Linked DNA regions of Arabidopsis thaliana. The protein of the gene in region 1 interacts with the protein of each later gene in a pairwise test. Each region holds a gene or a part of one and is shown in the gene's direction. Other genes may lie near its edges.

The links.
Region 2: the proteins of PIN7 (region 1) and AT5G50520 interact in a protein complementation assay, tested with the Arabidopsis thaliana proteins (one large-scale study listed by BioGRID).

Annotation. Positions count from the first base shown.
Region 1 is NC_003070.9:8,181,664-8,185,591, reverse strand, and holds the start of PIN7 (Auxin efflux carrier family protein), read left to right. Parts: upstream 1-1,941; 5' UTR 1,942-2,185; coding exon 2,186-3,386; intron 3,387-3,463; coding exon 3,464-3,734; intron 3,735-3,824; coding exon 3,825-3,910; coding exon of another isoform or gene 3,911-3,928. Other genes in the region: AST91 (sulfate transporter 91), read left to right, coding at 30-106, 202-354. UniProt on the Arabidopsis thaliana protein: Acts as a component of the auxin efflux carrier. Mediates the initial auxin gradient which contributes to the establishment of the apical-basal axis in early embryogenesis.
Region 2 is NC_003076.8:20,569,519-20,573,446, reverse strand, and holds AT5G50520 (Major facilitator superfamily protein), read left to right. Parts: upstream 1-1,790; 5' UTR 1,791-1,859; coding exon 1,860-2,201; intron 2,202-2,397; coding exon 2,398-3,212; intron 3,213-3,301; coding exon 3,302-3,767; 3' UTR 3,768-3,914; downstream 3,915-3,928. Other genes in the region: AT5G50530 (CBS / octicosapeptide/Phox/Bemp1 (PB1) domains-containing protein), read left to right, coding at 1-27, 186-291, 382-440, 590-699, 778-896, 989-1,074, 1,156-1,245, 1,392-1,571.

The DNA of each region.
Region 1 (3,928 bases):
AGCTAACTTTGCTTTTATATATGTTAAAGCCGTGAGCGGTGTAGACACAAACGGAGTGTCCTTTTTTAAGGAACTTAAGAAAACAACCGCCAAGAAGGACATCGAGGTAAAAATAGTTGTTTTCACAATCCGATTTTGTCACTTATCCAAGGAAACTAATTAGATTTTGATCTAAACTGGATATTTATTTTATGTGTGAAGCTTGTGTTTGTGAACCCTCTAAGCGAAGTGGTGGAGAAGCTTCAAAGAGCTGACGAACAAAAAGAGTTCATGAGGCCCGAGTTTCTCTTCTTAACCGTCGCTGAGGCCGTTGCGTCGCTCTCTCTTAAAGGGCCATCTCTCAGTAACGTTTAACTATAATTTTTTGTATCGGTCCAATATTGATATTTAACCGATGGTTAAATTTTTCTTTTTGTCTCTTTTTCATCTTTTAATTTCAGTACAGATGTAATATTACGTTCTTCTCTCTCTTTCTTCAGTGATGATTTTGGTCAAGATATGTTTGTATGATTTCGCCATTTTGTAGTTTACTAGGCCATGTTTAGTCTCCGAGAATAAAATTGATCTAGAATCGAATTGATATCTTAGCTAGATCAAACGGATGTATATCCAAATTATTTATGAAATAAACTGATTAAATAAAAAAATAAAAATAATATTTTTATTTAAGATAATTATGTTTTATAATATTAGAAAATATGACCAAACCATGAGCAGAATTGTGTTAAGAACTTTGCCAAGTTAGAGCTTACATTATATATCAAAAGTCAATGTGTAATTGTCAAGAGGGATAAACCGACGCGGATGAATCGAAGAAGCAATTGCTTTCAAGAAGACTTCAAATCAGCTATGTGTCTGCGATTATAATTGTGTAAACGTTATAAGCAAGAAATTTATCTCAAAATAAAACTGGTCTATAAATCAAATCGAATTGAAAATTTAGCTAGATTAAAAGATGAAATGAACTGATAACATAAACTAATAGATATTTTTAATAAGATGTTACTACTTTTGTGAAATGATAAAATATTTCTGAAGTTAATCGAATTCATTCAAAGCTATGATAACATTGTGACTTCTAGGAAAAAACAATTCTTGATACGGTCGCGGAAAGATCTTGATAACATTGTGACTTCCAGTCTTCCATATGGCATAAGGTATTCTTTTACACTAATACTTTCCCGACAACAACAACGAAAAACTCCAACCTTTTTTTAAAAGGCCACATAGAATGCATGATAGACCATCTGAAAGAAAATGGACAGGGTGGCTTAAAAGTGAGATTTCTTGGGATTGCATAGGATGTTATAATTAACCCTAGCTTGAAAAAAAAAAGACGATTAGACAATAAGAAATAGAATTTAGGTCAACTTAGTTCGGCGAATATGATCTTGCATTGCACCTTCTTTACCAATTTATAGTGATCTTTTGCTCCTTATAAGCACATGTTTAAATCACCACTACGACATTGTTTCTGTTTGGGCCAAATGCACACTTGTATTTTATCTCACAACGAGCTTATGAGAAATCAATCCTAGTAATACGTTAAGTGGCCCAAGAAGTTTTGGACCGGCATTTACGTGTATATAAAAAAATATTATGATTACTTTTAGATGAAACCACACTTAATTTCTTCTTTTTTCTTGGTAAACCACAATATCTCTTTATTGTTTTTATCAAGGATTCACAAAATTCATTGAATGGAAATTTTCATTTATGTGTGACATGTAGACAGTCAGTCCACTCTAAAAAATCTCAGTCAATTTCGTAACAAATTCATAACCTATTTCAAACACAATTCATAACCATAACTTATAAATACTACATAAATGATATTTCTTTATATCATCTTAAATGGTACATAAATTAGGGGAAAGCTAAGATATATATAGTATTAAAAAGTACAAAAATAGATAAGGTTTATAAATGTTTAAAGAAGTAATAAAATAGAAATAAGAACTAATTAGGTCGTCATGTGTTTGCTGTATAAAAAGCTGTAAAGGGACATCTCTCGTAAATCTAAAAATCATCAAATCTTCTCCTTCTCTCTCTCTCTCTCACACACTCACTAGCTTCTCTGTTAAAAGCTTCCGTCATCACATAGAGAACAGAGACTGACACTAACTCACTTCCTAACGGTTTCCACACTCAAAATTACACTTTTGCCACTCCGGCGAACAACAATATGATCACATGGCACGACCTCTACACCGTCCTCACGGCGGTGATACCACTCTACGTAGCCATGATCCTCGCTTACGGCTCAGTCCGGTGGTGGAAAATCTTCTCACCAGACCAATGTTCCGGCATAAACCGCTTCGTCGCTATTTTCGCCGTCCCTCTTCTCTCTTTCCACTTCATCTCCTCAAACAATCCTTACGCAATGAATCTCCGATTCATCGCAGCCGATACACTCCAAAAACTAATCATGCTCACTCTCCTAATCATCTGGGCTAACTTCACTCGCTCCGGTAGTCTTGAATGGAGCATCACAATCTTCTCTCTTTCAACACTTCCCAACACTCTCGTTATGGGAATACCTCTCTTGATCGCCATGTACGGAGAATATTCCGGCTCACTCATGGTTCAGATCGTTGTTCTTCAGTGTATAATCTGGTACACGCTTCTTCTCTTTCTTTTCGAATACAGAGGAGCTAAGATCTTGATCATGGAACAGTTTCCAGAGACTGGTGCTTCGATTGTATCGTTCAAAGTTGAGTCCGATGTTGTTTCTTTAGATGGACATGATTTTCTTGAAACTGATGCTCAAATCGGTGACGATGGTAAGCTTCATGTTACGGTGAGAAAATCAAACGCTTCTCGGAGATCTTTTTACGGTGGTGGTGGTACTAATATGACTCCTCGTCCGTCTAATCTCACCGGAGCTGAGATTTATAGTCTTAACACTACTCCAAGAGGATCTAACTTCAATCATTCTGATTTTTACTCTATGATGGGGTTTCCCGGTGGCCGGCTTTCGAACTTTGGTCCGGCGGATATGTACTCTGTTCAGTCCTCGAGAGGACCTACTCCTAGACCTTCGAATTTTGAGGAGAGTTGTGCTATGGCTTCTTCGCCAAGATTCGGGTATTACCCGGGAGGAGCTCCCGGGTCGTACCCAGCTCCTAATCCGGAGTTTTCTACCGGTAATAAAACCGGTAGTAAAGCTCCAAAAGAGAATCATCATCATGTAGGAAAATCAAATAGTAATGATGCTAAGGAGCTTCATATGTTTGTTTGGGGATCCAACGGATCACCCGTTTCGGACCGAGCTGGTCTTCAAGTTGATAATGGAGCCAATGAACAAGTCGGAAAATCCGATCAAGGCGGTGCAAAAGAGATTCGAATGTTGATCTCTGATCATACTCAAAATGGTGAAAACAAAGGTTTTTAACTTTTAAATTGTATTTTTTTTTGTAACATATGGACACAAATCTCAAACTGTATTTGCTTAAATTTGTAGCTGGTCCGATGAACGGGGACTATGGCGGGGAAGAAGAGTCGGAGAGGGTAAAGGAAGTGCCTAACGGACTACACAAGCTTCGGTGTAACTCCACAGCAGAGCTAAACCCTAAAGAAGCTATAGAAACGGGTGAAACTGTACCGGTAAAACATATGCCACCAGCGAGTGTGATGACTCGGCTGATATTGATAATGGTGTGGAGGAAACTCATAAGAAACCCAAACACTTACTCTAGTCTCATTGGTCTCATTTGGGCTCTTGTTGCTTTCAGGTAACTTAATCAAAAATCAACTACTAGTGGAAGTTTATTATTATTGTGAGATTTGATTAGAGTGATGATTATGGTAATTTGGATATGAAGGTGGGATGTGGCAATGCCTAAAATTATTCAACAATCAATCTCAATTCTTTCTGATGCTGGTCTTGGTATGGCAATGTTCAGTTTGGGTGAGTCATCTTTTTACT
Region 2 (3,928 bases), on another chromosome or scaffold:
CCTCAAGAGACAACTACTGTGGAGAAGGTAAAGTTTTCGTTAAGTTCGTGTTTTCGCTATATATGTATGTATGCTTATGCTCGTTAGTTTTGAATCTGGTTGAAATTATTCTTTTCAACTCTTAGATTTATATGAGTACTCATTTTTCGTCTTTGTTGTTTCTTTTCAATCCCATTATTCTATAGGTTATGACACCGAATCCAGAATCTGCAACAGTTGATATGGCAATTGTTGAAGCCTTACATATCATGCATAATGGCAAATTTCTGCATCTTCCTGTATTGGATAAAGGTAACAAAATGTCCTCAAAACTGACTTTGAGCTATAAAGTATGAAGCATTGTTATTTCAACACTTGTCTAATGTTGATGATTACATACAGATGGAGATGTTGTCGCTGTTATTGATGTGATCCACATAACTCATGCTGCTGTTACTACGGTACACTTTTTTTCTTCTATTATTCTCTTCTAGTTGAAGTCGAAAACATGAGACAAGATCGATAAACAATCCGAGAGAAGAAAGAACATGATATATTTGTTGCATACTATTCTTGTTTTGCTATAAACTCTTTATTTCCTTTTGACAAGGCTGGAAGTACGGCTGGAATAAACAATGAGACAGCAAACTCAATGATGCAAAAGTTTTGGGACTCTGCTATGGCTTTGTCTCCTAACGAAGATGGCGATGAAACGAGGAGGTTTCTACTCATATTCCTTTGAACCATTTAGTTTTGACCATAAGGTGGTTTCTTAAACTGGATCATATGATTTTTCAGTGAAGAAGAGTCGATGAAATTATCTTCGGAGATAGAAGTAACAAAATCATTTTCATATCCCAACACATTTGCTTTTAAACTCCAAGATAAAAAGGGACGAATGCATAGATTTATGTGTGGTACGTTAAATCATAACTCTTGAGAAACAGGACACCTATTATGCCAATGCTGCTTAGTCCATTAACCTTTTGTTTTTACTTTTCAATAACAGAAACACAGAGTTTGACAACTCTGATAACAGCAATCCTACAAAGAATGGGGGATGACATTGAGCCTGATAACTTGCCTCAGATAATGGTACATATTTATTCGAAAACTTATTAAACGAGAAGATAGGAAAAATTTTCTTCTTTTGTTGACATATTTTGTGTTGTGTAGTACGAAGATGAAGACAATGACAAAGTTGTTTTAGCATCAGATAATGATCTTGGAGCTGCTGTAGAACATGCAAAATCAATAGGCTGGAAGGTAATAAATTGTACATCCATACTTATTGTCAATTAGTGTAAAGAACTAGGATGAAATGATACCTTAAATCCGCGGTCTCGTTTTGGTTAATGTGGATTTTGGGCTAAAGAAGAGTATATTTGGGTTGGGGATTCCAAATGGTGCAGGGTTTAAAATTGCATTTGGACTACACAGAAGAAAGAGGGCACAGGAGAGGTCTAAGTTCAGAGGATATGGACTACGACCAGTCAAACTCATGGGCAGCCGCTTACAAAACGGTTGCAGCCGGGGCTGCTCTTGCTGCTGGACTTGGAGTTTTGGTGTACCTTAAGCGCAACTCAAACTAACAGATTCATTTTGGGGAGATACAAAAGTGAATGCTTTTGCAAACCAATTTTTAAACCTAAGCTTGTGAAGTGTATACCTCTTCATTGATTCGTGTTTTTTTTTTTTTTTTATCTTGTTGCTTATTTGTTTCTCAACCTTACACATGAATTGTATATAAATAAGTAAACATTTTATTTGTATTTACGGTGTTGTCCAAACTTTTCTTTGAAACTGAAAATTACAAAATAAGTAATCATATGAATCAACGAAAAAAAAAAAGAAATAGAAAGTTTTGAGAGCGTTTGACTATGATGACTTTGTGGCGTCACAAACTAGAGCTCCTAGTCAACGACCGATGGCTAGTTTTCGTCTGCGCCATGTGGGTCCAATCCGTCGCCGGCGTTGGCTATCTATTCGGCGGCTCTATGTCTCCGGCAATCAAGACTTCCCTTGGCTACAATCAGAAACAGATCGCTCTTCTCGGCGTAGCTAAAAACCTCGGTGACGCCATCGGATTCGTCTCCGGTGCTTTATCTGAAGTCTCACCTTCCTGGGTGGTTCTACTCGTCGGTGCAACTCAGAACCTTTTCGGCTACGGTGTTGTTTGGCTCGTCGTCACTGGCCAATTGCCTAATTTGCCTCTCTGGATGGTGAGATGAATTTTACAAATCAAAATTGCTTACACATTTGCGATTTCGTTAGTAATTGTGCTTTGCTTTTGATTATTTGTACGATTCTCTAATTTTGGCTTGAACTTCCAGATATTCAAAAAAAAAAAAAAAAAAAGATGTTAAAGCTTACATATGAGTGTGATCCTGCTTGATTCTGGTTTATTTGTTCATGTAGTTGTTTGTTGCTATATTCGTGGGAACAAATGGGGAAACATACTACAATACAGCGTCGCTTGTGTCATGCATTCATAACTTCCCAGAAAGCCGAGGTCCTGTGGTGGGAATCCTGAAAGGGTTTTCTGGCTTGAGTGGAGCAATCTTGACTCAGGTTTATTTGATGTTCAACCCTTCTCATGATTCTTCGGTTATTCTCATGGTTGCTCTTGGACCACCAGTCGTGGTTCTTGCTCTACTATTTATTGTTAGACCCGTGGAAAGAAGTTGCAGAACGAACTTGCGATCTGATGATTTAAGATTCCTGGCTATTTACGGTTTCTGTGTTGTCCTTGCGGTATATTTACTAGGATTGTTGGTACTTCAGAGTGTTTTTGATATGACTCAAACGATTATCACAACCTCTGGAGCCATCCTTGTCATTTTCATGGTTGTTCCAGTTCTTGTCCCTTTTTCATCGGTTTTCATCTCGGGTAATAATGTCACCTCAGTGAAGCCTGAAGAAGGAACTTCCAATGTGGATCAGCATGAGGCTAGAACTTTAATTGAGAGAAGTGACAGACCGCCGGAAAAGAAAAGAGCGCCGTGTATAGGAGAAGATTTCACCTTGTTACAAGCTTTGGGACAAGCTGACTTCTGGCTTATATTTATGTCTCTGGTTCTAGGTGTAGGTTCGGGAATCACGATTATAGACAATCTTGGTCAGATTTGTTATTCCCTCGGGTACAGCAACACCAAAATATTTGTCTCACTGATCAGCATCTCCAATTTTCTCGGCCGTGTTGCTGGTGGCTACTTCTCTGAGCTAATCATAAGGTACAAAACCCTTAACCATTTCACTTTCGCTTTTAAGAAGCATCTGTGTTTTTTACTGACAGATTCATCTCTTTCTGCCTCTTCAAAAGGAAACTCTCACTTCCAAGAACGTTGGCAATGTCTGTGGTTCAGGCGATAATGTCTTTGGGGCTCATCTACTATGCCATAGATTGGCCAGGGAAGATCTACGTAGTGACCATTGTGATAGGAATGGGTTATGGCGCTCATTGGGCGATTGCTCCTGCTTCAGTCTCTGACATTTTTGGCCTGAAGAGCTTCGGTTCTCTTTACAATTTCCAGATTACAGCTTTGCCTATTGGGTCATTTGTGTTCTCAGGTGTGATCGCTAGTAACATCTATGACTACTACGCCAGAAAGCAAGCCGGACCCACCACAGAGACTGAGTCGCTCGTCTGCACGGGCTCGGTGTGTTATTCAGTCACGTGCAGTCTCATGTCCATGTTGTGTCTAATGGCTATGGTTTTGAGTTTGAGTGTGGTTTATAGGACGAGGAAGTTTTACTTGAGGCTTCATCACCGAGTCTCAAAGACTTGAAGATAGTGTAATTGTGTAAGCAATTTTCATTTGGTCTTTGGAAGATATATGTAAGCAATTTTGAATTCCATACTCAAAATCTTTAATTGGTGTTCACAAGTATTTAAATGTAACATTAAAAAAATAATTGCCCTAAAAGAGTTAGATAACTTACATTACAT